4 linked regions of the Arabidopsis thaliana genome follow. The protein of the gene in region 1 interacts with the protein of each later gene in a pairwise test. Each region holds a gene or a part of one and is shown on either strand. Other genes may lie near its edges.

Region 1 (7,370 bases):
AATACTTTTTCTTTTTATTCACTTTTAGTTATAAGTTGTCTGCATGCACTTGTCTCACGTACCACTTATTATCATATATTCATATCGACCAATTAAACTTCTTTTCCCACTTTAATTTGATGGTTTAGTGTATTTAGCATAATCAAAATAGTATGTGCGTGAGGACTTGTTCTGAAGTATTTATTCCTCTCATTCGTTGAAAATGAAGTTGAAGAACACTTGTTTTTTTTGTTATGAATGTTAATATCATTAAAAATGAAAAGGTTTGGCTTTACAAAGTAGGAGCCCTTAAATTTGTATCCTTGGCAAAAAAGATAAAACAAGGAGACAAAATAATTAGGAAAATGGATGAAAGAGATTCATCGTATCCAAAGTTGCATCAAGTTGCGGAATCGTTTGCGCTTATGTCTTGCAGTGATTATGTTTCTTGTTACTCGATCTATGCCCTTGAAGATGATAACCGGAGGAATAGAAACCTGATTGTGAACACTTGTTTATCAGATGATCAAAGTATATAGAAACATGGTACTTAATTACTAACACAGTGACTACTCTCGTTATAAGTAGTTATCAACTTATCATTGGTGATGTATATGATGATGCACTTTAAATAGGTAATGAAACATATAGGACCTGAGTCAAAAAAATGTACTGCATTGTTTGAACAAATGTACTAAGATCAAAATGTATATCATCATCAGTTCATCACCATATTTCGAAAAGAACAATACTTATAAATTTTCTGTTTAATTACTTAATCAATAAAAGATGCGTATGGTATTAGAAACAAGCTTTTGTCAATTGTGAACAAGCAAAGAAAGATCCAATTCTAATAGAATTCAGTTTCTCGAAATTTTGTATATAAATAATAATGTAAGGAAGATATATGATCATATGAATGGGCTCAGAATAATTTTAAAGGGACTTGTTGTTCTGTGGAACACAAGATTGACAAAGGAATCTCTATATTGGGCCCGTAGAGTCCAACTCATAAAAACGAACAAGTGGAGAAAAAGACTCCAGCTCTCTTTACCACTTATTGACAAAAACAAAAAAGAAGAAACAAGAAAAGAGTAAAATCTTTGCCTCGTGGGTTTTAGTGTACATTCTCGCATCTTTGTGTTGTGTCAGTTTCTTTAACCGATCAGTACAGTACGACAGTTTTAAACATTTTAATCATAACCTCTGAATTTTCTCGTTGAATCTTGAGTTCTAGTATTTTTAAAGTAAGAGTGATAATAATGACAAACAAAAAAAAGTACTCCGTAGAAAAGGAGAGACCAAAATTAAAGGAGGAAAAAGTTAATAATAAAGCCATTCTTGGTTTAGGAAATTAAGAGAGTTATGTAATAATGGCAGAGTTTGGTATGAAAAGATTTGTGATTGACCATTTCTTTACTCGTAGAAAGCGACCCGGAAATAAACACCAATCATATCTATCTGTATTTTTTATTTTTTTAACAAATAATTCTGATCTTTAGATCCATTTTTTGGTCCAGGAGTAGCTTTAACTATGTAAATCATTTTTCTTACAGAGATTTAAATGACTCAACTTCATTCTAACTTCATTTTTCTAAACAAATAAGTTCTGATCTTTAGGTCCATTTTTTGGTCCAGGACTAGTTTTTAAAGACCGTAAATCATTTCTCTTACAGAGATTTAAATGACTCAACTTCTTCTTCTTCTTCTTCTTTTTTTTGGTTGTTGCTAATCGAGTATAAATTATAGGCGTTAGGTACACCAACCATATCTAATATCCATGTTATATTAGATAGATAAATTAGGAAAATAAAATAATACAACTCAAAATAGTTACTTTGTTGAAAGAAATTGAGAGGGAAAAACTGGAAGTGTATATTTAAGCTATTTTATTTTTAAAAAATATATAATTTCAAATAGCTAAATTTGTAAAATGCAAGGAGATAGTACAATATTTTAGTTTAATAACTTGTAAAGCACAAACAAGTTCGTAGTTAATCACTAGAGTAGCACCTACAATCCAATCCAAGTGAGAATAAAATAGTAACTTTTTTACTGAAAAAGCCTGATCAATAAACAGTTATATTCCTTTACCACGTCAGCCGTGACCCTTTTTTGTTCTGCTCTACACTCTCTTTTCATTGTTAAAAAAAAAAAATCAAATACTGTATGATAATTGATACATAGAAATAATAGAAGCTATTTAGTTTTCAGTAACAATTATAATTACTCTTAGAGTTATAAACTTATAGTTTATTAATCGAGAAAAACACGAATCTAATTAATTACCTCAAGGAAGTACAAACAAAAGTTGAATTACATGTTATTGATTATTCGAGAGAAAGATATCTACATTTGGATTTTGTTAAAAGAAAAATCAAAGCAAAGATTATTACAGAAGAGAAATAATAAGTACTTTGGTGAAAACAATGATCATCATTATCATCATCGTCTTCTTCATGGATTCAATTTAACCCACTCGTATCTTCCTCCACCAAGTGGCTCATCTTTCTCGAAATCGAAGTTATACCTAACAACAAATTCATTATCAGTTTCAAAAATTCGATTAAAAGATTTGAATCAAAAAAAAAAAACTTACTTCATAGAACATTCCAACAACTTATTCCGAAGATCTTTCTCCGCCACCTGAAAAAAGTCTTCTAACTCAGCTTCCTTCACCGTCTCATGGAGACTCTTCCTTAACCTGCGGCGAGACTCTACATCTTCAACAGCCACCGAAGAAGAATCCATGTTCATCGATTCCTCACTATACACAAAAAAATCAAAGACATTTTATAGAAATGTTTGTTACTGATTCAAAATTTTAATATCTGTAACAAATTAAACAAACCTCTTATTCAAATCATCGTAAATCCACGACGTTTCTGTTTCACGATCGTCACCGTTATTTTCCTGGAAAAACGAATTCAAAAATTTCAAAATCTGTAAATCAAAATTCAGTTTCGATAAATAATGCTTTCGTTGTCACCTCAAGATCTACAAATTCGATTCTCCGTTTCGATTTCTCTTCCGATGTAGAACAACACGAAACCGACGAATCTTCTTCTTCGATTTGACACTGTTCTTCAACCGGAGGAGAATCTCGCCGTCGTACTATAACAACACTCGTCTCCGACGCTCCTGCTGAATTTCTCGCCACAATTCCACCGCGATTCGTCGCCTGTACACACGGAGACAGAATTATCCTAGATTCCACTAAATCCACTTCCTCCTCCATCTTCCTTCGTTTCACCGTCGTCGTCGTAACTCCATTCTCTTCAACCACATCTCGTTCTCTTCTCCTAACCGCCGCCATAATCTCCTACGACGTCACCTTCCAGATCTCTATCTCTCTCTAAAATCACTCGTTATGTGTGCGTGTTTGTGTTTCTCTCTCTTTCTCTCTACTAGAGAGTCTCTAGCTCGCGTACCATTTGGGTTATTCTGTTATAAGATGGTGACGATCTTCGTTTTGATCGTAATTTGTTAACGGCCACGATTAACTCTTGTCATTTTCATATAAAGCCTCGTGTGAAGTAGGAATAGTAATTCTTTTAATATGTAACGGAGAATTTGACGGCGCCGTTAAAAATCGAGTATTTTATACCTTACACGATTGATACGTGTCTTTTATTCGTTACGATTACATTAATAGTTTCAAAGTTTACAAAATCAGTGCAATTAGTGCATATCTAGTTACTTTAGAATGATAAATTTTTTTGAATTCAAATTTTTTTGAATTAATATGTTGTTTTTATTTATTTTAATATAATTGGCTGGCTTTTCCAATAAATCAACGAGAATGAAAATAATTATTGTGGATATTAAGATAAAACTGTTTATTTTTTGTTATAATAATTACGAATTTATATTATAAAGATAACAATAATACCATCAAATTATCATATTAATTCACAGACGATCAAATAGATAAAAAAATGTGTGTAAAGCAATATAATGTATATGCAACATGGAATTTGACAACGATGTTATAGATCGAGTATCTTATACCTTTACACGATCAACATATGTCTTTTATTCGATGTGATTACATTAACGGTGTCAACGTTTACAGAATCAGTGCATATCTACGACTACGTTAACGGTGTCAACGTTTACAGAATCAGTGCATAATTTTTTTTTTAGAATGGTAAATAGAATTTGAATTCAATTTTTTAATTAATATGTTTTCTGTTTTTTAAAATAATTGGTTGGTGTTTCCAATGAAATAGAATGAGAATAATTATCGTGGATTTTAAAAATAAATTTAGATTTGATAATTTTTTGTTGTAATAATTGCGAATTTAGATTATAAAGACAATAAAAATCTTAGATTTATAGAGAAAAATGACAATATCATCCAATCATCTTAAATAGATTAAAAAAAATGTGTGTAAAGCAATGTAATGTTGTCACGTTACATTATTAGTGATAATATGTGTTTCTGTGTTAAGATCTTATCAGTATTTGACAATGTAGTTGTGTATAGTTTTTCAATGCATAGTCGTAATATTTCAATTTTGTGAGGGGGTCGACCGTACACATATCAAAATAAGGTATAAAATACATTAAGTCTAAAATACATTAAGTCTAGGGCCATGACGTATTTAACGGTTAGGTGATAATGAAATCAATGCTGCGACATGCTGTTTTGTTGTGGCAATACAATACGTACACAAACATATTCACATGCTTAAATATTACTACTAATTCACACAGTGAATTAAATACTACTAGTTCATATCGCATACATTTCGTTGGTAAAAATAAAAGAATTTTTTTCCATCATCATTTTCGTCTTATATTGAATTTTTTCTTTTTTTTTAATGCCGTCGTTCTGTATCGATTCTTGAGTTCACACAAGACAGTGTCTGCGCATATCCATCATACCATTCAATTTAATAATGTGCCCACGAGCTGCATACTCAATCATTACTAAACTGTCTCTCTCTTTTTTACACTCACTATAACAATGTGTAAGTATATATACATACTTATGAGATATTCAAAATAAAATAGTGAGCTAAACATATAATGTAGTTTAAAAATTCGCATAATATATGTTGTTGACTTCAAAAGAACAAAGATTATCATAACAATTACTACGAAAATAAAATTATCATATATCTATGTATACATCCGTAGTTCTTAATTATGAAAACTTAAACGCTAGTACCAACAAATGAATCCCTAAGTTTTAAAATCTCTCAATGAATACATATTGATATTCGTTTTGAAGGATAATTTTCGATTTAAATTGTGATAGTATTTATCGTAAAACATTACTTTTAGATATGTCCCAGTTTTTATCCAAATATACATAAAGACTGTGCCTATCATGAAAAGTGAAATTGCAACACATCTAAATATATCTTTCTAGATGGAAAAGATATCCAATAAAAACGAAAAAGACTTAAGTGAATGCAGACAAGGGCACATGGGATCTTTAGTGATTTGTATTGTGTGGGCACGAAATTTTATAATCCATAAAGTCTATATCATGATCACAATTTGTAATCACGTATAAATGTTACTACAAGTCTCCAAAGCACTTAAACCCTTTAACAAAACAAAAAAAAGTCTCCAAAGCACTTTCTATCGTTTTCTTACAGTTATATCAAAAAGACAGTCACTGATTCAGAGTTTCATAATCATTTACAATTATAGTGTAGAAGAATGCAGTTTAATCTTGAGTACATAAAAATACAGCAAAATGACTTAAAACCGTATATAGTGTAGACCAAAATGCGAAGCAAAATTGCCGTTTCTCCATTTCTAAAATTTGAAGATGGCTTAAGTTTAAAATAGTCGTTAGTATGAGTGTTTGATTAACGAGTAAAGTGATAAGTAGTAAAGTATTATGTTGAGTAAAAAAAAACCTTTAACTTCACATTTTTTTTTGTTACTTGCGTGATCGAGTGTAGTTTTTTTTTTGTTTTTTTTTGGTTATTTTATCTGATCGAAGAATGGAACCTTAGTTATATGACATTTCATAGTTTTGTCTGTTTCTTACGAGATTAACGTAATTTATAAATTCAATTTGTGGGGATCATGTATAGGTGCGAAGCTACCACATGATTCACAACCACTGTTGGATTGTCAAAACAAAAAGATAAAAGAATGATAATTGATGGAGGTGGGTGGACCCAAAGCAAGGCTAAATATATTCCCAACTAAAACATTAATTAAATTGATCAAGCTAAAATGTATATATATTCTGATTTCTCGATCTGATTTACATATGTTTATGCGACCCCAATAATGTCCTTTTATGAATTAGACAAGAGTTCTTATGGTATTTATGTATTTAGTATTTGAAGTTTTGAACATAAAACAAGATCGACTTAATTACCGTAAAAGACAAAACAGAAAAGAAATAAGTTGATAAACTACTAACTATTCAGAGAAAAACAGGATTAATTTCATTTTTTTTCCTTTTTAAAAATGAAGTACGAAGTCTATTTCACAAGAAATTAAGAAGATTAAATTGTAGTAATGAACATGTCCTTCCCCATTATATGTAAGCAGTCAATGAATGATTGGAATTTGGAAACTTTAACGTTACTCTGACTCATAAACTTACTAAGAAAGGTCCACATTAAGAATATTATCAAATTGCATTAATTAAAATTTTACCTAAAGTCTAAGTTCGTAAAAAATTGGTTTTGGGAGTGTTCAAGGCTAAGCTCTTGTGTCCATGCATGTTCGAGTTTATGCTGGAGAATGATGATTTATGTTTTAGGCAACACATGAAAAAAACAAACATTTTATTAAATAAAGTTCATAACTTCATATGCCAAAGAAAGCTGACGACAACTTTATTTAATTAACGGAAGGGAAAAAGGTTATATTTCTCTTCTAATCAATAAAAAGAAATAAAGTAATGTGTTTTTGTATACTTTTTAAACATTATTCACGCAACTCAATTATAGTGGGGAAAGAAAGCAGATCACTTTCTCAAGTCGAACTTTTTCTTTTTCTCCCCATGGATTTCCCAAGGCTCCTCCAATTACCCTACAAAGACTCTCTTTCCGAAAGGAGATTCATGAATTTTATCATATGAATTGATATGTAAAGCTGATTCATCTTTCTTCTTCGATGATTTTACATCAAAAATTGATAAAAGACATGGAAAAATGCATCATTCACGTGGTTTTCGTATACCTTTTCTTATGTAATGAAAAGAAAATAAACTTTCATGCCTTGCTTTAATTTAGCTTACGAAATATATCAACATTATTGGTACGTATAACATATATATAATCATCTTCTAATGAATGATTGGTCAACCATAAAAAGGTTGTTTGAATGATATGAGATCCAGTTATCCAAATGAAGAAACATGTCGTGTTTTGTGGAGTCATCACACGTATCGTTGAATGTAGGTTTTC
Region 2 (8,410 bases), on another chromosome or scaffold:
TTGTGGATCTTATCACTTGTGAGTTGTGATGTTATTTGGTGTCACCGTAATTTATGATTACTGGGGAAATGCTAATGCAGGGTGAGACGCTAGGGAAGAATACAAAAGGTTTGGTTGAACCGATACAAGCAGTGGGCAACACTGGGAATGTAGGGCTAGGATTTCCTCAAAGGAGAAGGAAATAATATGAGGTACAAGATATTCAGTTTAAGGGACTCTTAGTGTTCATATATTACTTGAGAAATTGAGTTACTATATAAACTTGGATTGGCTTATAACAAGAGAGGTTGCAATAGGTAGCTAAATTTCATCTAGACTTGTAAGAGTTGAGAATCATTTACTTGCTGATTTTGAGAAATAGAATGAGAAATCGAAGTACCAAGCAATAGACAAGTTGGTTTCGATTTTTATTGGACCAAGCAATAGAACTGTATCAAGAAAACAACATATCGGATTTATGGTCCATTTTCTCTTGGTCGACAATTTTTTGAAATGGCGCGACGTTGAACAAAAATTATACGAACAAAGAAAGCTATTTCCAGGTTACTGCCTTTATATTTGGATGACTTGTTCCAAGGGGAAACTTTTTTTTTTTTTGTCTGTCATCTGATGATATTAGAACTTTCAAAGGAACCAAGATGATTGCAACAGCTACACTGTAATCTATAACCATCATGCCATTGGACGCATCCTAGTAAATACATAAGAAAGACACTCCCTTTATTTTGGTCTCCGTTCTTCAGCCACACCTTATAATATCATCCACAAGATAATAAGTGGTGTCTAGCAAATAACAAAGCGAAGCTATATCTATATTTATTTACTTATTGATTGTCGTGAATCTATCTTTAATGGTGACATGCCATAGAATTATCACTATTGTGTGGTTGTGCTTGTAATTGTTTGTAAAAATTTTGATTTTATGAATCAAAGATTATCAACATCTAGACTTTAATAGTTAAGGAAATAATAATATTTAAAAAACGCGTACCTAAATCTAATGAAAAGTCAAAATTACGGTCAACGCCTTACGAGACGCGTCTGGTTCTTGAAAGCAAGTTCTGCGTTATTTCATCATCAATCAAAGTCGCCATTTTATTTTTATTTAAAGTCTCACGTCACGGAATTATCTCTCTGAATTCATCATCTTCATCATTACCTTCTTTTTCTCAATCTCGATTGTTTTCTTCCAAATTCATGTCGATGATGGCGGGTATACAAGGCCAGATTCTCGAGGTCACTGGTTCGTACCTTTCTCACATCCCCAATTCTATTATGTTCTTCAACCTTATCTATGATCCGTTGAAATGTTAACTTTTAAAATTTCTGGGATTCTTTTGATTTGTCAGTTGTTGGGTGCCAGAAATTGAAAGACACGGAATGGTTTTCAAGACAAGATCCATACGTCGTCCTTGAGTATGGTGGCAGAAGTCACCGTACCAGAACCTGCACAGGTTATTTTTAATACCACCTCTTTTATTCATAATTTGTTCAGATCCAGAAAAAATTGAACAAAGTTAAGATCTTTCAATGAATTTGATTGATGGGTTTGTTTTTTCAGATGGTGGAAAGAACGCTGTTTTCCAAGAGAAGTTTATCTTCACTTTGATTGAAGGGCTTAGGGATCTTAAGGTTGCTGTCTGGAATAGCAACACTCTCTCCACTGATGACTTCATTGGCAATGCAACGTATGTGTCACTTCTTATCATTGCCTTGTTATGCTTTTTAATACCCGCTTTGGATTTGGAATTGAGTCTTTTGTTGTTTGGTTGTTATTAGGATTCAATTGCAGAAAGTTCTTTCTCAGGAATACGACGACTGTACCTGGACTTTGCAGAGTAAAACTGGGAGGTAATTACATTGGCTTTACTAGTTTTTGTTCCTTTTCCATTAAGTATCATGTTTGGTAATCTCGATTATTGCATGGTTCACATTTGTCTAGCTGATTTTGGTGCAACTTTTTGATGTGGTTTCTACTATATAGTGCTTGAATATATAGTTTCGCCAGTTGCTTTGCTTTGCTTTGCTTTGTTCTTGTCATTTACTTACAGTGCTGACATGGTTTTGCTCACTGATCAGAGTCGTTATGTGTGTTTTTGTGTCCTAAATTGTTAATCTGTGTGAACTACTTGTTCGAATGTTCTGTTTCTACATTGAGCACACTCACAATTGATGTAGCATTTTGATTAGGTTTCTCTGGAACTTATGAAAGATAACTAGACATTTTGACATAAATGGAGCTTCTATTGTCTGTTGTTAGGTTACCTCAGTAAAGAGATGTGAAGTTGCGTTTAAACATTGTAGCATCAAATTAGAATTTCTTAAAACTGGTCTCTTGAGGTATTCCATTTTTGTTTTTGAAAAAGAGAAAGTTATGTGTTTTTTAATCCATGGCTATGTGTTTTGTTTTCTTAAATTCCTGGAAAATCGGTTACAATGTGCCAAGATTTTGGTAGCTTGTCCTCAGCGATTGCTCCTTGTAAAAGATTACTTTTTTGATTAAAAGCCTTGTGAAAAACATCAACCTTTCTGTCTTGTAGATTCGCTGGAGAAGTACAACTCCTACTGCATTATGCGGGAGCAAAGGTAAGTCGAGCCTCAATTAGCAACATTGGTTAACATGTTCCATTATAAACAAAAGGCTAAACACACAATCCACTCTTGTATGCAGAAACATAATTACGGGTCTGCGCCATCAGCACCGTATGCACCTCACGTACCTCAATACTCAGCACCGCCTTCTGCATCTCCGTATTCAACAGCACCACCATACTCTGGACCATCTCTATACCCACAAGTACAACAATACCCTCAGCCATCAGGATACCCTCCAGCTTCAGGGTATCCTCCTCAGCCATCTGCCTATCCACCTCCCTCAACCTCGGGCTACCCTCCGATCCCTTCAGCTTACCCACCTCCTCCGCCATCCTCAGCTTACCCTCCTCAACCATACCCTCCGCAACCATCATATTACCCACAAGGTACCTTCCTTTCTTTCCTGTTCTATGCTGCAATTGATCGCATTTGCTTGTCTCTAACTATAGTCAGTGGTGGTTGATCTTTTTTCTTCTTGTTTCCAGGTCCATATCCAGGACAATACCCACCTCCTCCATACTAGAGCGTTTGGCGTTTAGAATTTGACGGGAAGTGGTCATGATGTATAGATTATAGTTATGGTGTTTTCTAGAATTTGGCAGACGAATTTCTTTGTTTTGTTTTTTTTATATCATCTTCCTTGTGCTATTGCTAGCGTGATGGTTAATTTTTGAGTTGGTCAGTGAAACTTATTGAGAAGTTTGGATCTTTTCATGTTTAACCAGATCGCAGATTATATTGAATTATTACTCTAAATCCTTGGTTTTGTGTGTTCATCATCCTCTTGAGTTAAAATTATGTTAAAAACAAAAAAAGGTTTTGGTTCTGTCTTTAACTTTAAGAAACGGAACTTATCGGCGTATAATCATCGCACTTGTGATCAGATGCAATTAGAAAAAGGTTATTTGGTCAATGTATAGCAATATCTTTAGGTTCTAACAAAAACATTATTGTTGACAAATAGCCCAAAAGTAGTAGAATTTAGCCGACAGATTTTACTGCACTTTGGTTTCTCGATCTCTACTCCAAATGAGTAAAAAGTGGGTAAAGCGGGAAACAGCAAAAGAAATCACACATTTAATAAAAAATAAAGAAAAAGAAATTCCACATTAAATAATCACAACAAGAAAAACAAATAATATATTAGTAAAAGACAAACGTAAAAACCATCTCTCGGCCTTCTCTCATAAATCAATCTCTCTTCTTATCACTCTCCGAAACCCACTTCCAGCTTTTTCCTCTCTCTTTCTCTCTCTAGTCTCTCTTTTGTAGCTCTCCCCTGCTAAGCTAACCACTGCACGTTTCCATAGAGAGGAAAGATGAGTCTCTCTCCGAGAGATTTTCTCTCTATCATCTTATCTTCTTCCGTGTAATGCTCTGAGCCAAAACCCAATAACTAAATCAACAACAATATAGAAGAGAAGAGAAAGATCTTATCTTTCTTCTCATTCTTGAGTTTAGTCCCCCACAATGGCGATTCGGAAGGAGGAAGAAAGTAGAGAAGAACAGAGCAATTCGTTTCTTCTTGATGCTCTCTACTGCGAAGAAGAGAAATGGGACGATGAAGGAGAAGAAGTTGAAGAAAACTCTTCCTTGTCTTCTTCTTCTTCTCCATTCGTTGTTTTGCAACAAGATTTGTTCTGGGAAGATGAAGATCTGGTTACACTCTTCTCCAAAGAAGAAGAACAAGGACTCAGCTGTCTCGATGATGTTTATCTTTCCACGGATCGAAAAGAAGCTGTTGGTTGGATTCTGAGAGTCAACGCTCATTATGGCTTCTCTACTTTAGCAGCTGTTTTAGCCATAACTTATCTCGATAAGTTCATCTGTAGCTACAGCTTACAGAGAGACAAACCATGGATGCTTCAGCTCGTTTCTGTCGCGTGTCTCTCATTAGCTGCTAAAGTCGAAGAAACCCAAGTCCCTCTTCTTCTAGACTTTCAAGTAAATGATGATACTTGCAATAAATTTCCTTAAAGTTTAAGTCTTTTATCCCTCTGTTCTCATCTCTCTGTTTTTTTGGGGGTTTGCAGGTGGAGGAGACAAAGTATGTGTTTGAAGCAAAAACCATACAGAGAATGGAGCTACTGATTCTGTCTACTCTCGAGTGGAAGATGCATCTCATTACTCCAATTTCGTTCGTAGACCACATTATCAGGAGATTGGGACTTAAGAACAATGCTCACTGGGATTTCCTCAACAAATGCCACCGTCTCCTCCTCTCTGTAATCTCCGGTTCGTAAACGACAAAAAGAAAAAAGCCACTCCATTTCGTTTTACCATCTGCTGAATCTGAGTAATCATCTTACATTCTTGTCTTATCTTCCTCAATTGTCTTTGTCAGATTCAAGATTTGTCGGGTACCTCCCATCAGTAGTTGCCGCAGCTACCATGATGCGAATTATAGAGCAAGTTGATCCCTTTGACCCTCTTTCATACCAAACTAATCTCCTCGGTGTCCTTAACTTAACCAAGGTTAGCTTCTCTAATCATCTCTCTACTTGTTTTCACTCAGTCATTTTCTCAAACAACTCTCGTGCATTAACAGGAAAAGGTGAAAACTTGCTACGATCTAATCCTCCAACTACCAGTGGACCGCATCGGTTTACAGATCCAAATCCAATCTTCCAAGAAACGCAAGAGTCACGATTCATCATCATCGTTGAACAGTCCAAGCTGCGTGATTGATGCAAACCCTTTCAATAGCGACGAAAGCTCAAACGATTCGTGGTCAGCGAGTTCGTGCAACCCACCAACGTCGTCGTCGTCCCCGCAGCAACAACCTCCATTGAAGAAGATGAGAGGAGCTGAAGAGAATGAGAAGAAGAAGCCGATTTTGCATCTGCCATGGGCAATCGTAGCCACTCCATAATCGAAAGCTCGATTTCGTTTATATGATATTTACTGTTTTTTTAAACTTTGAGAACAATCTTTGTTGTATTAAGCTTTACCCGTTTGCATATACGAAATGTCGCGAATGCCCTTACGTGCCATGGCTTGATAGAGTTAATGGGTAAAGGGTATTCATGACATTTGACTGCATGGGATGTGACGAAGGAGAGAATTAGAAATAATAATAATAATATTGCGTAAATTTTGAGGCTTGCCCAATCTTTGGGCCGTAATCTCCGGCGTTATTCATATTTTATTAATGTTTTATATTATGAGTAGTAGTATGTTCTAAAATCTGCTTTGCTGAAGGAAATAATAATTACATACATATTCTTTTACTCCTGTAGTTTAGGAAAGAAAAAAACGCATTTAAATCCGTGCTATTTGATAACTACATTTTTTTCGTCCAGAATGGTGGATAATACAAAATTTAAGAAATGAGATGTCACAATGTTTTAATATTTGAATGAGACTGTTGTGTTTATGATCGAAAGTGAAAGATTTAGCGTTTTTAGCTTTGACTTTTGGGAGAAGAGCCAATTGTTGCTGCTTTTTTTGTCAGTCTTTAAATATAATCGCTTTCAAAGATGAATCAATAATTAAAATTTTAAAACGGAAAGACAAAAATGAAAACGTAACACTATATTATTGCTTTAGATTTTTTGTCTAAAGTCTTGTCAAAACCTGCTCTACACTATATTATTGCGTATCAAATAACTAACTACACATGAACATGTAAGTTGTCGAAAATAACAACATATAATTATAAATGTTTTTAAAAATCAAACAGCGAAACTTAAATCAAATCTACAGAGTGTAGATCTTTCGTTGACCAGTAGATAAATTAACTGCGACAGACAGACACAGGACAAGAAGGAGGAAGTGAAGTAAACGCGCCATATATAGGTGAGTGTTGTTCGACGACGATAAAAATGTGGTGCAGCATTAGTAACAACACCAGAACCAAAGTAACCTGCTTCCACTCTGAGCACCTGGGATTAAGACACGTGGCAAAAAGTATCCAGCGTTACTATTCTTTTTTTCTTTTAATAACATCAAATAATCGTCAATTAATTACGAAAATTGAAGATATTAAATTTAACAATTTACTATTATAAAATCCCTTTTGTATCACGGAAAAGCTTATATGATAATGCGATTGAATCACGAGAAATTGATTTTTTTTTTTTAAACAAAACTTTAGGTTGTGTGAAAATCTTGGCTCCTTCTTTTACACTTTTTCTTTTCCAATTTTATTTTCTCTTTGGACTTTTTATTTATTTATTTTCTTGGCAATAAAAAAAGAGAATTTAAATCTATAACTTTTTTCACGTGTGACACGAATTTTCTACTTTGGGGGATTCAGATTCATCGTTCTTTTTCCTTTATATTCTCAATTTCATTTCGCTACTTAGAAAAAAAACGAATTGCTTTAGCTGATGTCGTTTCTTAACGCTCAGCCTCACGTCATCAAAGCATTTAAACTCCCCTCGTTCATGTAATCTTACATTAATACGTATGCGTAATGCGTTTATGTATTGTTTAAAACAAAAGATCCGTTCTCTAACTTCAACTAAAAAGTTAACATCCATGCATATGTATTAGAATATCAAATTAAGCACAAATATTAACATGTTAGCAAAAACATGACTCTTTATTTCTACAATATGTATATCGACTTTTAATCACAAGTTTACTGGCTGTAGAAAATAGGTATATTTGTGTATATACGATTGAAAGTGTTCATATATTATATATATGATATGTTTTATTTTTGCCGTTGTTCTTGAGCAACTATATGCTAATATATATAGGAAGAAATAATATATTCTTCTTATTATTCTTATTTTGTATTTTTAAAAATAATATTTTATAATTTGCAGAAGAACGGGAACAATGTGATATATCAAAACTGAACAAATAAAAATACTGAAATTTGAGTAGTTAATCTAATAAAAGAATCTCTAGTGCAAAAACACTGGTTTAAAATTAAACAATTAAGATGATATATCAAAACTTGCATACCAAACTATACAAAAATTATAATCGGCCACATGCATTACTATAATTTTATGATAACATTTGAAAATCTGGAGTAGGGCATGTAGCTACATAATTGATGAAAGGTGAAAAAGGATGTATGTGGAAATCGGGAGGTTTTCAAAATGGGAGACCAAAAAATCTTTGTAGTTATTCGTTTTCTTTTACAAATTTCAAATAATAAATATGTTGTGGAGAATGTGTTTTCTGTCCTTTTTTTTTTTTTTTTTTTTTTGTCTCTTCTAATGGTCTTCTCCTCTTTAAGGTATGTTATCAATATCATGGTACCATACGCATCTCGTGAACCATATAATGACTTGCCATAAATTATTTATTTCCTGAAACAAAGATAAGATGAAAAAGAGATTACTTGCTACGAAGAAAATAAGTTCTTTTAACCAAAAAAAAATTGGTCGAAAAAAAAAATTCTTCACATCTATTTACAGTCTTTACTTTTGGGTATAATATATACTCTTCTGGACCGAATAATTCATTCCCTTCCCATTCCATCCCATCAAATAAATGTGAAACTATTCTTAGTCAGCTTTGAATTTTGGTAGTTTTATTTTTAATTTTTAATTAATAGGTGTTAAAATCGATGCTTTTTTATTGAAGAAAACTCAGTTATTAAAAAAAGAAATCAAAATATATTTGTATTGGTAAAAACAAATGAAAAAAGTTTAGAAAAAATGGGAAAGGAAAACAGCTTGCACCCAACATGGAGAAAGGGCAAAGAGGTCAATGTGTCCCCACAACAATAATTATAGAATATTATTATCATTCTCAATGGCTTTGTGACCTTTATATCTTAAATATTTCTTCTTTTGACCTAGTCTCTTCCCTTTTTACTTCCACTCTTCTTTTTTTCTTTTATTGTAATTTG
Region 3 (9,067 bases), on another chromosome or scaffold:
AGTTTGTGGTGGGTGAGAGTGTTAGTTTCTTACAAGTCGTTCAATGACTACAGCTAGCTTTTCAACTCTATCCGCTTGTCTAAATAGATTGTAGAATGCTTGTGATTGCCTGTCCCATCTCTTTCTCAGGTCCTACAATAGTTAATTTGATTGAATATGAATATAAAGCTATGTGATAAGATCATATATATAGTAGAGATAAGCCTTGCAAGTACCTTTACTACAACTTCCACTCCAGCTTCCCGAAACCGCAACAATTCCAAAGCATAGCTGGATAACAAAAGTATTTGAGTACTCTTCTGATTAACAAGAAGATAAAATATAGTGTGTTAAGACTCACGGTTTAGCAATCTCCGTTATATCAAATCGGGGGTCAAGACCTTTGCCGATGCCATCCAATACTGCAGAAGAAAGTAACCATTAGTATATTTTTTGAGTTTTGAACACAAAAAATACAAATTCGAATGACATTGCAAACCTGAAAAGGCTCTAACAACAAATGTGAATGTGGCGGGGAACCGGAAAGGCTGATCAGCCGCAATGGCTAATAAGTCTTCTCCGATTGCAGCCAACCTTTGCTTCTTTTTCTCTTGCTTTTCTTCCTTGCTTAGTGGCTTCTTGAACCCAAGCTCTTCTGCTGCTGCTATTTCTTCTTTCTCCTTTCTTTGTGCAGCAAGCCGCTCTTCAAAACTGTAACACAATCAGCTAAGTGATATTATCAGAGGGATAGTACTGGAATCTATTATGCACACACTCTCACACATACTTTAGAGAAACCAAACAAGTAACAATGATTTAATAGGTAGCTCGATGGATAAGAAGCAAGGGTACAAGGATCAAGTAAATTACCTGTTGAGAAAAAACAATGCTGTTCTTCTAACTGCCGTCAAATCTCCAGTTGGTACAAGCACTCCCATTTGAACCATAGCTTGAAGGACCTGCCACAAGAAGGTTAATTCATATATATTTAAGTATGAGCTCAGGTCGTATGCGGCATGTCGGTAGAAGACTGAAAGTGAGAACACCTTAGAGACTATACCTTATCTGGATCCTTTTCATAGACGCCATAAAATGCCTCCAACAAACCTTCTCTAATATTTGGGCTAATACTGCAAGTGTAAAACACGTTGTACAGAACCATAAGTTTAACAAGTTGATAAAAGGAGATCACATTTCTTCACCATATTGAACCGAAGCAGTTTTTCACATACTAACAGAGTCATGTTGTAGCATAATAAAATGTAGTACCTTCCCATCATTCCAAAGTCGTAAAATATCAGCCGCCCGCCATTGACATCATCAACTGCTATATTCCCAGGGTGCTGCAGAAAGATACATAAGCAAATTAGATTGTAGTCTTTTCGTATTGGTACACCAAATTAAAGATTGTTGACACTTAGTGTAAAAAAAAAAGGATAGAGACTTACAGGGTCGGCGTGGAAGAATCCATGAGATAAGATTTGCTCCAGGTAAGATTCAACAGCATATCTTCCTAGCCTGCATTGTACCAAGTTATCAATCAACAACAACGAAACTATTTTGGATTCAAAGAGAAATAACAAATATAAGTCTGGGAGGAAGATGTAAGAAAATACAAACCTTTTTCGATCAACACCTAACTGATCTAAGGCTTGTATCTTGTTAATCTTAATCCCAGGGACATACTCCATTGTCAGGACCTGCAAAGAACTCAATGCATAACTATTGCATTCGAGCTTAAGGCTTCACAAATGGTGAACTAATGGTCATAGGTAATAATAATACCTGAGGTGTAGTGTATTCCCAGTAGATGGATGGAACTTTTACATACTCTAAGTCTTTGAAGTTATTAGCAAACAACTCCGAATTAGCTGCTTCTTTTGTGTAATCAATTTCCTGAAAAAATATAGCACATTGTTATTACTGCAGTAGTTAGAGGTCACTCAAGTTGGGATACAGAAAGGAAGATTTGACTGAGCTTCTACGCAAAGGACAATTAGCAACAAAAGCACACTCAAAATCAAAATCATTTTCCTTTTTCTCTCCGGTAAAATGGTCCAAAACTTATTCACAAGAAGTGATAAAACATTAAACCACATCATCATACCTGGTACAAAACACTGGCACATTCATCATAGATTGCAACCCAATCTCTCTTTGCACCATCTGATTTTGGGTCCACCTTTTGGAGATACTCAGCGATCACCTAAATAGAAGCATAACAAAGTCATTGACTCAGCAGAACATCATGCAAATAGCTTCAGAAGAGCGGATAAGAAAATCACGAGATAAGGACGCTTGCAACATGGAAAAGCTCTATAATGACTGTGGTATAGAGACACTAACCCTCAAATTCTTAAGGTCAATATCAAAGAGATCCTTCAGACCAGGTCTCTGTACTTTAAGGACAACCTCTTGACCCTTAAGTCTTGCACGGTGAACTTGCCCTATATGAATTAAAAACAAAAACCATTAATTTTATTATCATCTCTTGCAAATTTATGAGAAGATTATCACAAAGACGTTTACCAAGACTAGCTGCAGCTATAGGTTCATAATCAAAACGGTCGAAAATGTCCTCAACAGAACCTCCAAGCTCCTCTTCAACAATGGATAAAGCTGTAGCAGAAGGGAAAGGAGGAACTTGATCCTGCAAAGCATAAGATCATAAAACTTAAAAAAGAAGAGCCTCACAGGCCACAAGTACAAATTCAAATAGAATAAAAAGAAATCAAACCTGAAGTTCTGACAATTGATCAACATACTCTTGAGGAAGAATATCCACTCTAGTAGAGAACTGTTGCCCAATTTTGATAAATGTAGGACCTAATCTCAAAATGTTTTCTTTCAACCACTTAGCCAAAACCTTCCTTCTTAAAACCTTCTTCTCTTCAGTCATTCCCCCTTATACACATGATTTTTCAAGAATTTAGACAAAATGAGAATCGTCCTAATCCTAGACGTAAGCAAACAAAAACAAGTATCAACCTTTATAAGAGAACTTCTTATTGCTTAACCAAGTCCTGAAAATAAACTGTACAACAAAACCCCAAATCTCCAATGTTCTTTGAATAGTTGAGTAAGTCTTGAATCTATTCCATCGACCACCAGGTGTAACAGAAACCTGTAAAACAATATTAAAGTAGCAAACTTTCAAGGAATTGAATCATTAAACAAAACGATATTGATTAAAAGTACATTACTTTATACCTCAACTTGTTTTTGTTGAGTGTTGTTCTTAAACCAAGCATCCTCTTGACCAATATCTTCTACTCTCTTCTTCCTCACTTCTTCTTTTCTCTTCTTTGTCACTTCCTCCGTTTCCACCGTTACACTTCCGTTCACATACTTCACCAAACTACCGTTACCGTTCAAACGAGCACTTCCGTTAAAATCTCCGTTGACGGATTTTCTCGCAGAGCCGTTACCGTTTAAACGTGCACTTCCGTTGTAATCACCGTTGATCTTCACTGCATTATCACGATCTTCAACAGCGACATTATCGTCTTTAGAAGCTCTGATTAATCTCGTACGAATCCGGAGATTGTGATTGTAGCTTAATCGGTTTCTGGGTAAGAAGATCCCGGCGATTGAAACGGAACGAGTGATTGTTGGAGATTGTCTTGAGTTGAAATTGATGTTTGGTAAAAGCAGAGACGACGATGAAGAAGAAGAAGTCGCCATTGATGGTAATACTTCGGAAGAGAGATCTCAAGTTAAACCCTAGTTTCTCATGGATTATTTGCGTACAAGAGATTTTGAAGAAGAAGAAGAAGAAGAAGGTGAAGACTTGTTGTTTGTTGGCACTTTGCAGTGAGAGGTTTTTTGAGGTTCATGACGAACCACAGAGAATGTTAAAAAAAAAAATTATGATAAAATAAAAGGGGTGGATATGAAAAGGACACGTGGCATAAGATGAGATTAGTGAAGGAGATGTTCTTGTGTTTTGATTGGTTGTGTTAAGACACCTCATCGTGTTATTTATCGGAGCCACAAACATTGTGCGATTTTTTTTATTGTTCCTTTTTCCAAACACTTTTATGGTCCATCTTCAAACCAAACTGATTGGTTCGGTCCTAAACTCGACTACTTGGTATGTTAATCTGGTCCTAAGCTATATGTATGACTTTTAGTTCAATTAAGTACTGAACCGATCCTATTCATTGAACAGAAAGCACCTAGAAACATCAAATTATCGCTAAAAATCGAGTAAACATATTATTACCTATTTAATTGACATTAACATATACATTGTATAATTTGAAGAATTCGTTGAACTTACAAGTTAATTCAGATATTTGGTCAAGTATTTTTCCTATATTAAGCTAATTATGACGAATTTTTAAAAATACAAATTAAATCAGAGGAAAAAGTTGGAAATTCGAAACTTTTCACTAGTCACGAAGCGACCAAAGTCTTACAACTTAAATACTTTTCTCAAAGTTGCAAATTTACCCCATAAGTTATATTTTAAGGCTATGGAAGCCCTCCTCCTCCCTCCTTCGCCGGAACCCCAAAATCAAATCACCAATCCGGCGAATTCAAAGCCAAATCATCAATCTGGTGACGTACATAAAGATGAGACGATGATGATGAAGAAGAAGAAGGATACGAATCCATCGAATTTGGAAAAGAGAAAACTCAAGGGAAAGAAGAAAGAGATTATGGACAACGACGAAGCTTCTTCGTCCTATTGTTCTACATCTTCTACCTCTAATTCAAATTCTACTAAAAGGGTTACGAGAGTGGTTCATAGATTACGAAACCCTATGCGGTTAGGTATGGCTCGACGAAGCGTTGGTGAACGACAAGCTGAAAAATTGGCGAAGCCTCTGGGCTTTTCACTTGCCGCTTTTGCTAATATGGTTCGATCAATTTCCAAACTTTGATCTTTATTGCATCACATAACTGTTTTGATACGAAATTGGCTTTGCTGGTACGGGTTGTTCCTATAGTTGACCTTGCGTGAATACTAGGTTTTGGTTGTGTTGAAAGTTTTGATCTTTAGATAGTATTAAATACAAAGTCTTTCAATTTAGGCTTTGTTGATTCAAAACTGGACAGAGGAGAGGATCTGAATCAGAGTCAAAAGGATTGAATCTGAATTTTCTTCTCTCAGTACTTGCGTGAATTCTTCACCCTGAATCGAAGAGAGGATCTTCTCCTCAAATTATAATCAGAGTCAATCAATAGAAGCTGAAGTTCTTCTTGGGGGTCTCTATGATCGAGCTTCAATGTAACATTGCAAATTTATATTGTCTTCTCTCTCACTTGCCTTAAAGCTTGAGCCTTTCTAGTTTCTACTCGGATTTGTAGTTCTGATTGTGATTTCACCAAATTTCATCCTACCTAGCCGCCAAAGTCATTGACTTGCATATGCTCTGTAGTTCTTACTCTGTTTCTACTCTGTTTTATTGTTCTCTAGGTTATTGCGAGAAAGAATGCCGCAGGTCAGAATGTTTATGTTGATGATCTTGTTGAGGTAAGTAGTATGAACTTCAAATGATTTCTTCTCAGTTTCTGTTCAATCTTTCTTTTGCCATCGTTTTGGTAGTGATACAAGAACTTCATTGATTATGCTCTCCAGATCTTTGCTACTCTTGTCGAAGAATCATTAGCCAATGTAAGCTAAAATCCCCCTCTATGTTTTCCGCATTTTTATATTTATAGACTTTCTGATTCATAATGTTGTGGTTACAGGTTTATGGTAATAAGCTTGGTTCCTTTGCGACCAACTTTGAGCAAACATTCAGCAGTACTCTAAAGATCCTTAAATTGACCAATGAATGTGCAAATCCACATCAGTCAAACAATAATGATGGTGGGAGTTGTAATTTAGATCGCTCTACCATAGACGGATGCTCAGACACCGAGCTATTTGAGAGGGAGACTTCATCTGCTACGTCTGCTTATGAAGTGATGCAAGGCAGTGCAACAGCAACCTCTTTGATGAATGAGCTTGCCCTTTTCGAAGAGACTCTACAACTCTCTTGTGTCCCTCCTAGAAGTTCAGCAATGGCTTTGACCACAGACGAAAGGTTTTTAAAAGAGCAAACACGAGCAAACGACCTAAAGACCGTGGAGATTGGTCTTCAAATAAGAGAGTTAAGGTGCAAAGAGACGGCGCTAGGATTAAAATTTGAATCAAACAACCTGGGGAAAGCGGCGCTAGAGTTGGATGTTTCGAAAGCTGCATTCAGAGCGGAGAAATTCAAAACCGAATTAGAAGATACAAGAAAAGAAGAGATGGTCACAAGAATCATGGATTGGCTCCTCGTAAGTGTCTTCAGCATGTTGGCTTCTATGGTACTTGGCGTTTACAATTTTTCAATAAAGAGAATCGAGGATGCTACCTCAGTATGCGACCAATCCGAGGAGAAAAGTTCGTCGTGGTGGGTTCCTAAACAAGTTTCATCGATTAACTCAGGCTTCAACACCTTCATCTGCCGGGTTCGAGTTTGGGTGCAGATATTTTTCGGTGTGTTAATGATCATTGTCTTCACTTACTTTCTAAACAAACGATCATCAGGTACGAAGCAGACAATGCCGATAAGTTTCATCGTTCTTTTCCTCGGTATATTTTGCGGTGTATCGGGTAAATTGTGTGTGGACACATTGGGCGGTGATGGCAAACTCTGGCTAATAGTTTGGGAAGTGTTTTGCCTTTTGCAATTCGTTGCAAATGTCTTCACATTGGCTTTGTATGGTCTAATGTTCGGTCCTATAAACGTGACTCAAGAGACCAGATCGAACCGTTGTAACAGTATGTTTCCATATTGGGCAAGGCGCAGTGTCGTGTATGTGGTGATTCTGTTTGTTCTTCCAGTCATAAACGGTCTTTTGCCATTTGCAACATTTGGTGAATGGAGAGACTTCGCTATGTATCACCTTCATGGTGGGTCTGACTATGCTTGAGACGAGGAGGCCATCTTTGTATTGTAATTTATTGTAACGATTTGGGTTTTTTAATCTTATTTTATTTTATGGGTGCTGTTGAAACAATTGTATCGCTATTACAAAGTTATGTATTCGAGTTATATGTTTGTATTGTTGTCAAAAGAAATTAAAATTATGCTTTTCGATATGACAAAATTTCATGGGTCAAATGGTACTTTATCTTATCAAGTTTTTGGATAAAAGTGCAAGTCAGTTTTGATTTGGAAGCTGGTTTAAATTGGATTGAACAATTTGATTTTTATGTTTGACAGCAATTGAACAGTTTGATTAAATTGTAAGTATTATGAATTTATGATGATGGTGATATCATATATAGAAGAAAATATTATGATATTGTGGGTGGGTCAAGTGGGTAAATGAGCAGGATTCTCTAATGTCTTAAAAATTCGATAATAATAATACAGAGAGACCTTTTTCTTTTATTTTCTCCATCCTCTTAATCGGCTTATCGGATCCGAATCCGGACCCGAAAGCCTGAAAACCCGACGATTAATTGCACGATGTCCGATGCTCCGTCGTCTTCCCCGGATGCCACGGCGTCGCACTGGTGCTATCACTGCAACAAACGCGTCGTCGTTGAAACCTTAGATGACTTTGTCGTGTGCTGCGAATGTAACAAAGGTTTCGTCGAGTCAATTCAACCGACTCCCGCCGCTTATTCATCGCCGGCGCCACCGCAGCCACTTTCCCCAGATCTGAATGTAGAAGACTCCAGTATTGGCTCGCATTTCCTCCAGATGCTCCGCTTGTTAGCCCACGCGCCTTCTCAGCGTTCACCACCACGACACCTTGATGTTTTATCTTACGAAGATGATTTCTTCAGGTTGGAGCTCAATAGTAGAAACGAAATCGACGATGACGAAGACGAAGATGAAGATGATGGAGATGAAGAAGAAGAGGATGAGGAAGAGAATTTAACCGTCAACGACGAAGAAGACGAAGAAGATGATCTGAGGAGGAGAAATCGTTTTCCTCTCACGACGACGCAGTCGAGAACCGGAAGAAACAGAATTCTCGATTGGGCTGAGATTTTGATGGGAATCGAAGACAATTCGATTGAGTTCCGTATGGAATCAGATCGATACGCAGGAAATCCGGCTGATTACATAGACGATGCAGCCGGATACGAAGCTTTGCTACAGAATTTAGCAGAAGGAGATGGTGGTGGTGGCGGAGGAAGGAGAGGCGCACCACCGGCTGCGAAATCGGCAATAGAGGCATTGGAGACTTTCGAGGTTAGTTCTTCGGAGGGAGAGATGGTTATGGTTTGTGCTGTGTGTAAAGATGGAATGGTGATGGGAGAAACTGGTAAGAAGTTACCGTGTGGACATTGTTACCACGGAGATTGTATTGTGCCATGGTTAGGAACAAGGAACTCTTGTCCTGTCTGTAGATTCCAGCTTGAGACTGATGATGCTGAATATGAGGAAGAGAGGAAAAAAAGAACTTCTACCGTGTCAGATTCTGCTGCTGCTTCTTCTTCTTCTTCAACTTCTCGTTACTGAAGTGGAGGAAATGCCCCCATTTGTTGTTACTTTTGTTGTTACTCTTTCTCTTTAGATTAATCTTTGCTTAGTCTCTCAACACTATTTGGTTGGTTGCATGTTGCATCAAAGAAGCGAGAAAACAGAGAACAAAAAAAAAAAATCCGGCTCCAAAAAGACAATTGTTATTTGTAAGTGTGTTGTATCTTTGGCCTAAACAATCCCATAGTGGTTTCTTTGATTCTCAGTTGTTCATAAAGTTTGCCGAAACAAAAAGGTTCCTGGGTTTAGGAGAAACGGTTACAGGACTTCGTGAGCCTTCCCGAAGTACCTGTTTATGAACGGGGACTGCACAGAGACCAACAAACTTATATCAGATTTTGGCAATAATATTCAGAGTTCCATTGACAAACTAAGTTGGATTTGTTTTGTACCTTCTCAATTCCTGCAGTGTGGGGTGTGTCTGGTGAAGGCAATGGATAAAACTTGTACAACCTCATTTCTTGATAGGCTTTTTTTGTTTCTTCGCTCAGTCCTTCCTTTGCTTTCTCTAGGGCTTCTTGTGCCTGCCAATTGTAGAATCCATTGTTAAGTATATGTGCGGCTCTGTAGCAGAGGGTATGAAACATGATACCGTGTCATAAGCT
Region 4 (7,956 bases), on another chromosome or scaffold:
GCTCTGCTTCTGTCACCTCTGTCTACCACGTGGACGACTCTGCGGTTTTTGTCCTGTTTAAGAACTCAGAACTTGTCTGGGACTTCTTAGCACTCAAGCGGCAGCTGGAGTCAAGCGACGGTCCAGTCTCAGTTCTTCACCCTTTATCCAAGATCCTTGAAGGAGGAAACACTGGAGCTGCAGACTACGAAGCATACAAAGAGATTTGCAGCTCACACGTCTCAGAGGTCATGTTCTCTGACCAAGCTGAAACAGTTGGTGTCAAATCAAGAACAAGACCCAACGCACAATGCGAGACTGAGACAAGAGAGGAGAACACAGTCACTGTGACTCACAAAGCATCGGATTTGATTGATGCGTTTTTGGCCAATAGAGTTGAAGTCGAAACTGCTACGAGTAATTAACTATGCCATCTAACATTTTTTTTGTCAACGTGAAACGCAATAATATAATACAAGATAATATGTTTTGCGATGACCAAAATTTTGATAATGAAACATATGAAATAATGTGCGGATAAAACATCTAGAACTATCAGTACTAATAAAGTCAAACAATTGATCTGTTGGAGATGTCAATCTCAATCAAGTTATCTTCTGCTTCAAGTTCTTCCCAAATCTCCATGATCATCATCTCCTCGTAATAATCTTCTCTACTCAGCCAACGTTTCTTCACACTCTCCAACTTTGCTTCTCTCACCAGACAGATCTCTATCAAACCCTCTTCTTCTTCATGTAGGTTGGTTTCCGTTTCCAGACTTTTAAGCTCCTCCTGATCATGACGATAAGATTTGGATTCCTTGTTACACACGGCAATCGTGTGGAGAACGTTAGAGAGAAACAAGATTGGGATCATGCATAGATTCTTCAAGAAAGAAAGTGATAAGATCAATAGTGTCTTATTGACTCCATTTCTTGCCATTATTGGGATCATGAGACCTTACACAACCGACTTATTTATGGAAAAACATGGAAATCTATGTTTATCAACACTTTTGAGTTTTCCAGTCTAATGCATTGAACATAGACAAAATCTAATAGGTACAAAGACAAAATCTGAATACATGTTTCCCATAATCTTGTAAGGGGCCCCATTAGGTCGGGACTTGTAAACAATTGAGAAGACAGGTGTAAGATGCAGTTATGGGAGTTTTAGAGGTCAGACACATGCATTGTTGCATTGACATTCTTCCGTTGACTCTAGACATAGTTGTTGTCTTCTAATCTGAAGTCTTACCAAGAATATATCACCCTTAGTCTAAAACATAATCAAAACAAAACCACTGCAGACCACCCAGGCTTGATTGATCTGAAGATATTGTAACAGATTTGTAGTTTCACTTTATGCCGAGGAACTCTAATCCGATAGCGGTTGGACTTAACCCGTATAAATTCAAGTACTTAGGGTCGTGAAACTTGCTTAGATGTCTCATTCCGCTATCACAAAGAATGGTGACAATTGTGTGACCAGGACCAAGGGTCTGAGCCACCCTTACTGCCCCAACACAGTTCATAGCCGAGGAGCTTCCAACAAAGAGCCCATCATTCTTCAGAAGAAACCTGGGAACATAATATAGTGAGAAAGATATCAAGATCCAACTTTTACGAAATCTTTATCAGTACTCTCTAAAACAGTTATGTCAAAACATATAAAGGAATGAGCACTACCTCGACATCTCAACCGCTTCTTTATCAGTCCCACGAAAACCACCGTCAAGTTTTGCCATCAGGAAGTTTTTAGTAAGCCTGTTGATTCCGATCCCTTCTGTTATTGTATCAAATGGGTTCTTTAGCCGACGCCCTTCAGCTTCTTCTCTTGTGTACATCACTCCCCGTGTTACTTTATTGTACAGACCAGATCCAGGAGGATCAATCAGAAAACATTTAACTCTTTCATTCTTATCCTGTATAAATGCACCAACAAGTTATGAGTTTTTCTTTTGCTTATAACATCCACGAATTACTCATTCTTACATCTTTGATTAGTATAAGCCCTGAGTAATTATACCTGAAGAAACCTTGAAACACCAGCTAAAGTCCCGCCTGTACCCGCAGCAGCAACAAAGGCGTCAATATTACCCTGAGTCTGGTGCCAGATTTCAGGGCCAGTACCTTCATAATGAGCCCTATAATTTGCCAAGTTTTCAAATTGATCTGCAAAGAAGCCACCGGTAACTGAATCTGAGAATAAGGAAGGCTCTTTCACTTCCTCAACCGTGCAACCATTAGTTTTCTCCTGGTGTATGCCATTTGTTTCGCTCCCTAGTCTTCTCTTTGATGCTAACTCGTTTGCTTCGTCAGCCCGTCGCCTCGCAATGTTGACATAGTGATCCTTGTGAGTTATTGACACTGGCCTCACTCTCTCAACAGAAGCTCCAAGGGCTTCAATTATTTGAGACTAAAATAAGTCCAACACGATACAAATTTGAGTGTATGTACAATAATGCATACAAGGGAATTTGAATCATCATCAAGGTATTTAAAAGATATAACCTTTTCAATAGCAGCATCATCAGGTATAACAACATGACATTTACACCCATAAGCCGGAGCAACTGTAGCAAGGCTAATGGCAGTACTTCCTGCACTACCCTCAGTTACAATTCCTCCAGGGAATAGCTTACCAGATTCCAAAGCCTAAACAGAGAAACAAAAAAAACATAATGGACTTGCTTCTCGATTTCAAAAACCACTAATATAAATAGCCAAGCTGATGATTCAATCACTGACATTGTTAAGAGAGGTTTATGATGATCAAAAAACTTTTAAAAGTTGAAACCTTTACAATGCTAATCATAGTGTACCTCTTGAATGATCTTGACAGCAACTCTATCTTTAACACTACCTCCTGGATTCAAAAACTCGCATTTCCCAAGAATCTGATCACCAGACGAAACAAGTAGAATGAAAATTACATCTTTAACTCATAAATCACACTATCAGTTCGTCAGACCAAACAGAAAATAGCAAAAGAACATCGAGAAAAACCTCACATCCAGTAGCCTCAGAGAGACTATTGATACGAATCAGAGGAGTATTGCCAATGGCATCAACAAGCCCGTTTCTCATAGTCAACTTCTCCTTCCTCTTCTTCTTCTCGGAGAGACGGAAAAAGAAGCTGTAAGAAGTAAGCATCAACAACGCCGCTGCTGCAACAACAGCGCCAGTCATATTAACAGGCGCCATTGAAGCTCAAGCTCGCCTTCTCCCGTAATCAAACCGGTGAAGTAAAATTAGGTCGTCGGCAAAACAACACTATTTCTATTATTTGTTATTCTAGCCCCCAATATTTCCTTTAGTTAAAAATAAGGCACTAACATTTTTTAAATTATCAGATGCGTCCTTCATTTGATTTGTTCTTAAACTCGTCTCCTGAAGGCTGAAACCCTTTGCTCTCACTCCCAAAACGATGTCGTCTCTATCTCGCGTTCTCCGTGGCACCTTCAACACTTGCCCGATCCGCCGTTTTTCCTCCGCCGCCACCGTAGTCTCCGAACCCACCGCAGTCACTGCCGCAATCTCGCCTCCTCAAAAGTCACTAACCAGTCTCGTGAATGGCGAACGAAACCCCAAACGGATCGTGGAGAAATTCAAGAAGGCATGTGAGTCGGAGCGGTTCCGGACCAACATAGCCGTGTACGATAGAACCGTGCGCCGTCTCGTAGCCGCAAAGAGATTACACTATGTCGAAGAGATTTTGGAGGAGCAGAAGAAGTACCGCGACATGTCAAAAGAGGGATTCGCGGCGAGGATCATTTCTCTGTATGGAAAAGCCGGCATGTTTGAAAATGCACAGAAGGTGTTCGAAGAAATGCCAAACAGAGACTGCAAGAGGTCAGTGTTGTCCTTCAATGCCTTGCTTAGTGCATATAGACTTTCCAAGAAATTCGATGTGGTTGAAGAACTTTTCAATGAGTTACCTGGAAAGTTATCAATCAAACCAGATATTGTATCTTACAATACTTTGATTAAGGCATTGTGTGAGAAGGATTCTTTACCTGAAGCTGTTGCATTGCTTGATGAGATTGAGAACAAGGGACTAAAACCTGATATAGTTACATTCAACACACTTTTACTGTCTTCGTATCTAAAGGGACAGTTTGAGCTAGGGGAAGAGATATGGGCTAAAATGGTGGAGAAGAATGTAGCAATAGACATCAGGACTTACAATGCTAGGCTGCTTGGATTAGCCAATGAGGCGAAATCGAAAGAGCTAGTAAATCTCTTTGGAGAACTTAAGGCTAGTGGGCTCAAACCTGATGTTTTCAGTTTCAATGCTATGATTAGAGGATCTATCAACGAAGGAAAAATGGACGAAGCTGAAGCGTGGTACAAAGAAATTGTGAAGCATGGTTATCGTCCTGATAAAGCTACCTTTGCTTTATTGCTTCCTGCTATGTGTAAAGCAGGTGACTTTGAGTCTGCGATTGAGCTCTTCAAGGAGACATTCAGTAAGCGGTATCTTGTCGGTCAAACAACGTTGCAGCAGTTAGTTGATGAATTGGTGAAAGGGTCTAAGAGAGAAGAAGCTGAGGAGATTGTGAAGATTGCAAAGACCAATGATTTCTTAAAGTTGAAGCTAAATTTGCCGTCCCAGGAAGAGTAAGTCATTTGCTACTCTCTCACTAAGTGTCTCGTTGAATTGTGTCTGAGCAGCTTAAGCTATATGTATTTGCTGGTGTTGCTTTGTGGCTTTTCTACTTCTCTAAACTTTCCTCTGTGGAAGTAAGACTTGTTTCTTTCTATGTAGTTTCGCTTATTTCACTGGTGCAAAAAACAGCATGTAGTCGAGGTTTAGGCAGAAGAAACCCTACAAATTTAATAAATTTTGGTTATTTGTTTTCTCTTTTTGACACGAATGAATTTATTATTTTTGTTGGAAAAATATTTTCATTTTATTTGGTAAATAAATAGTGTAAAATAACTTCATTAATTAGTTATTAAAAGCCCGAAATGCAAAAATAAAATAAAATAGATTCTCTTCTTGGTAAACAAGTAAAAAAAACAGCAAAAAAAATAGAAAAATATCGGAGTAGAAATAAACCGACTACCAAACAGTGGATAAGAGAGTTAAAACGAGCCCATAAAACCTGTTTCCAAACAGTCCATCTGTTAATTTTCCTTTTCTCCGATCAATTCCAAAACCCTACTTCAACCCTGCGATTCATTCATCATTCACAGAGTTTGAAGAAAACGCCGAAATCGGAAATGGCGTCTATTGTTCTTCGATCTCGCCTGTTGCCAAGATTAGCAAAGCTCAGATCTCGTAATCTGAGATGTTTCTCTGCGGAAGCATCTTCGACGAATTCTACATCTAGGTATTCGGGAGTCACCTCTACCCAGTCGATGTTTTCTGATTTTCCACCGCCAAATCAGCCGCCACCTCCTCCTCCTCCTCAAGTGGAAGCTGCTGCCGCGGCTGCGACGGGAAAGGAGAGGAAAGGTCTTAAGTATCTTGGTTACGCACTCCTCTGGGCACTCACTGGTGCTACCGCTGCTACTGGTTACGCAAGTTTTGGTATGTACTTGCATTCATGAATTATCTTTTTTCCCTCTCGTAGATTTCTAGTACAAAGTTGTTTTTGCTGTGAAATGCGAGTAAAAATGTGTTATGGTTTGCTTAATCGTGGCATTGCATTACATTTTCACATATCAGTCTTTTGAATTCAGTGTTCTTCACTTGGTAGAACTGTGTCTTTCTTCGTTATGTTGACTCTTTTTAGTTCTGATTATACTTGTTTGTTTCGTTATGCAGCTTACACGATAGATGAAGTGAATGAAAAGACTAAGGCGTTCCGAGAATCAGCTACGAAGACACCAGTTATTAAATCTTCTGGCATTGATGTGATTGATGTGAGTAAGCTTGGTAGCCTTGAGTCGCTGTCAAATTAATGTTGATCATAACTTGCTTCTGTATTAGTTGACTTTCTTTAGTCTCTGGCTTTCAAATGCGTGCTGCCATGTTTCTCTGCTTCAAGGTATTGTTTATAAGCTTCTCTGAATTAATACCCTTTATACTCATCTTTCTGCAGAAATATCAGACTAAGTTGTACTCTGCTGCAATGACAGGTATAGTTCTTGCGCCTCTGTCATCATAACTAATAGTATGTCTTTAATTAAGCATAGCATGAGTTGGTTTGCTTGAATTTTGATCAGGTTCTGCTAGAGCCATTGATAAGTATTTAGAGCTTAGGGAAATTGTGGAGGAACAAGTGAAAGTACGTCCTTTCACCGAGACACAACTTTTCTTTTTCTTGCATCTTCTTTTTTCTTCTAGAATTCTTATTTTTTGTCTGGTTCCTTATAGGGCTTCACGGAACCTCTCTCGGAAAAGCTTCTTCCGGATCTGCACCCCGCAGAACAGCATGTCTTCACTCTAGTTCTTGATTTAAATGAGACACTGCTTTACACTGACTGGAAGGTAACATTTCATTTATTTACTGATCATCAAAATACTTGCATCATAGATGTGAATATGTGACTCAGAGTATCTATGTTATGAAACAAAGCAGTTCTGGTGAACTACTTTGTTTTCTTAAGTAGTGCTGTATTTAACTTTTCCTGCCTTTTCATTTACAAAAATGTCTAGCGGGAAAGAGGGTGGAGGACATTCAAAAGACCAGGTGTCGATGCATTCTTGGAGCATCTTGGGAAATTCTATGAGATTGTCGTGTATTCTGACCAGATGGAGATGGTAAAGTCCCAATTGGTTTTTCTTTTTTCTCCTTTTTTGCTTGTAATATCATAGTAATGCGACTACTAACGCTTGTTTCATTACTTGTAGTATGTACTCCCGGTCTGTGAGAAATTAGACCCAAATGGCTACATACGTTATAAGCTAGCAAGAGGCGCTACTAAATATGAAAATGGAAAGCACTATAGGGTACGTAAGCAGCTAGCTTATCTTGTCAAAGCATACTTTCTGACTTGCCCGAGTAACTGTTTCTCAACTAACTATTAAAATTCCTGCTGCAGGATCTGTCAAAGCTGAACAGAGATCCGAAGAAGATTCTGTTTGTTAGCGCAAATGCCTTTGAATCAACCCTTCAGCCAGAAAATAGCGTGCCAATCAAGCCTTACAAACTAGAAGCTGATGACACAGCCCTAGTTGACCTGATACCCTTCCTTGAATGTAAGTATTGGTGAACTGAGGGATAAGTTCTGTTCCAGTCCGTGAACTGCCTGTATCAATTTTGTTTGGTTGATCTTCCTGTTTGGGTTATGCAGATGTTGCACGTAACAGTCCAGCAGACATCAGACCGGTTCTGGCCTCTTTTGAGAGAAAAGATATTGCCAAAGAGTTCATTGACAGGTCCATAGAGTATCAAAAGTGAGTCGATCAGAGCTTTTTTTTTACCCTATCGTATCAATGCAAAATCTGTTGGTAGTGTCCCACTAAGAGTGTCATATCTCTATGCAGGCGAAAGCAAGGACAACTGGGACAAGGTCGATTCTGGAGGCGTTAAAGGATCTAAGATTTATGTATAGAGCGAGAGACAATTATATCATCATTGATGGTGCACACCATAAAATAGGAACATGAGCTACCGTTCTTCGCTATGGATTTATTAGGTAAAATCCGAATTAAAATACTGTCTTTGTCATCAAAGAGTTTTTATGTTACCCAATTTTCCTCGTCTTTCTCTCTGCTTTACATAGAAAATTTCTATGAGAACGAAAAAGAAATTATCATATGGAAGGTTCATTTTTCGTTGACTAACAAATACCGTTTTTTTTCTCTGATTTATTTTTACTTGGTTTGACAAATGATTTATGATTATGAACTTTGAGAAATTATTGGTTGAAACGTCAATTTGTATGTATTGCTAAAAAAAAGAGTAAATTACCTTTTCTAGTACGCTTAATATTTATCTGTCTGTTTCAATGCGTGTCTTAAGGTGCAATATCAGGTTTACAATTAGGTAAATCAATTACAGATTTTTCTTGTTAATCTGAA

The links.
Region 2: the proteins of KRP2 (region 1) and CYCD3;1 interact in a two-hybrid assay, tested with the Arabidopsis thaliana proteins (2 studies listed by BioGRID, with this or other methods).
Region 3: the proteins of KRP2 (region 1) and CPR5 interact in a two-hybrid assay, tested with the Arabidopsis thaliana proteins (one study listed by BioGRID).
Region 4: the proteins of KRP2 (region 1) and AT1G55890 interact in a protein complementation assay, tested with the Arabidopsis thaliana proteins (one study listed by BioGRID).

The regions. Positions count from the first base shown.
Region 1 is NC_003074.8:18,796,433-18,803,802, reverse strand, and holds KRP2 (KIP-related protein 2), read right to left. Parts: upstream 3,498-7,370; 5' UTR 3,296-3,497; coding exon 2,969-3,295; intron 2,893-2,968; coding exon 2,831-2,892; intron 2,747-2,830; coding exon 2,579-2,746; coding exon of another isoform or gene 2,575-2,578; exon of another isoform or gene 2,510-2,574; coding exon 2,437-2,509; 3' UTR 2,208-2,436; downstream 1-2,207. UniProt on the Arabidopsis thaliana protein: Binds and inhibits CYCD2-1/CDKA-1 complex kinase activity. Regulates cell division which is crucial for plant growth, development and morphogenesis. May regulate early lateral root initiation by blocking the G1/S phase transition.
Region 2 is NC_003075.7:16,353,838-16,362,247, forward strand, and holds CYCD3;1 (CYCLIN D3;1), read left to right. Parts: upstream 1-3,583; 5' UTR 3,584-4,065; coding exon 4,066-4,539; intron 4,540-4,628; coding exon 4,629-4,830; intron 4,831-4,939; coding exon 4,940-5,070; intron 5,071-5,143; coding exon 5,144-5,467; 3' UTR 5,468-5,728; downstream 5,729-8,410. Other genes in the region: AT4G34140 (D111/G-patch domain-containing protein), read left to right, coding at 81-185; AT4G34150 (Calcium-dependent lipid-binding (CaLB domain) family protein), read left to right, coding at 1,198-1,243, 1,350-1,454, 1,562-1,688, 1,780-1,851, 2,541-2,586, 2,672-2,981, 3,081-3,118. UniProt on the Arabidopsis thaliana protein: Involved in the control of the cell cycle at the G1/S (start) transition. Activates the G1/S phase transition in response to cytokinin hormone signal, but declines in response to sucrose starvation leading to G1 arrest.
Region 3 is NC_003076.8:25,943,712-25,952,778, reverse strand, and holds CPR5 (CPR5 protein), read left to right. Parts: upstream 1-4,381; 5' UTR 4,382-4,457; coding exon 4,458-4,844; intron 4,845-5,404; coding exon 5,405-5,461; intron 5,462-5,566; coding exon 5,567-5,602; intron 5,603-5,679; coding exon 5,680-6,894; 3' UTR 6,895-7,096; downstream 7,097-9,067. Other genes in the region: ATH13 (ABC2 homolog 13), read right to left, coding at 34-132, 216-270, 341-401, 479-690, 850-938, 1,040-1,109, 1,249-1,322, 1,428-1,497 and 8 more; CIP8 (COP1-interacting protein 8), read left to right, coding at 7,437-8,441; AT5G64910 (Serine/Threonine-kinase), read right to left, coding at 8,665-8,751, 8,855-8,986, 9,055-9,067.
Region 4 is NC_003070.9:20,897,956-20,905,911, forward strand, and holds AT1G55890 (Tetratricopeptide repeat (TPR)-like superfamily protein), read left to right. Parts: upstream 1-3,287; 5' UTR 3,288-3,408; coding exon 3,409-4,605; 3' UTR 4,606-4,845; downstream 4,846-7,956. Other genes in the region: AHG2 (Polynucleotidyl transferase, ribonuclease H-like superfamily protein), read left to right, coding at 1-404; AT1G55880 (Pyridoxal-5'-phosphate-dependent enzyme family protein), read right to left, coding at 1,337-1,559, 1,668-1,903, 2,008-2,397, 2,493-2,636, 2,804-2,878, 2,988-3,185; TIM50 (Haloacid dehalogenase-like hydrolase (HAD) superfamily protein), read left to right, coding at 5,208-5,517, 5,755-5,852, 6,032-6,068, 6,156-6,217, 6,307-6,420, 6,589-6,693, 6,784-6,882, 6,975-7,131 and 2 more.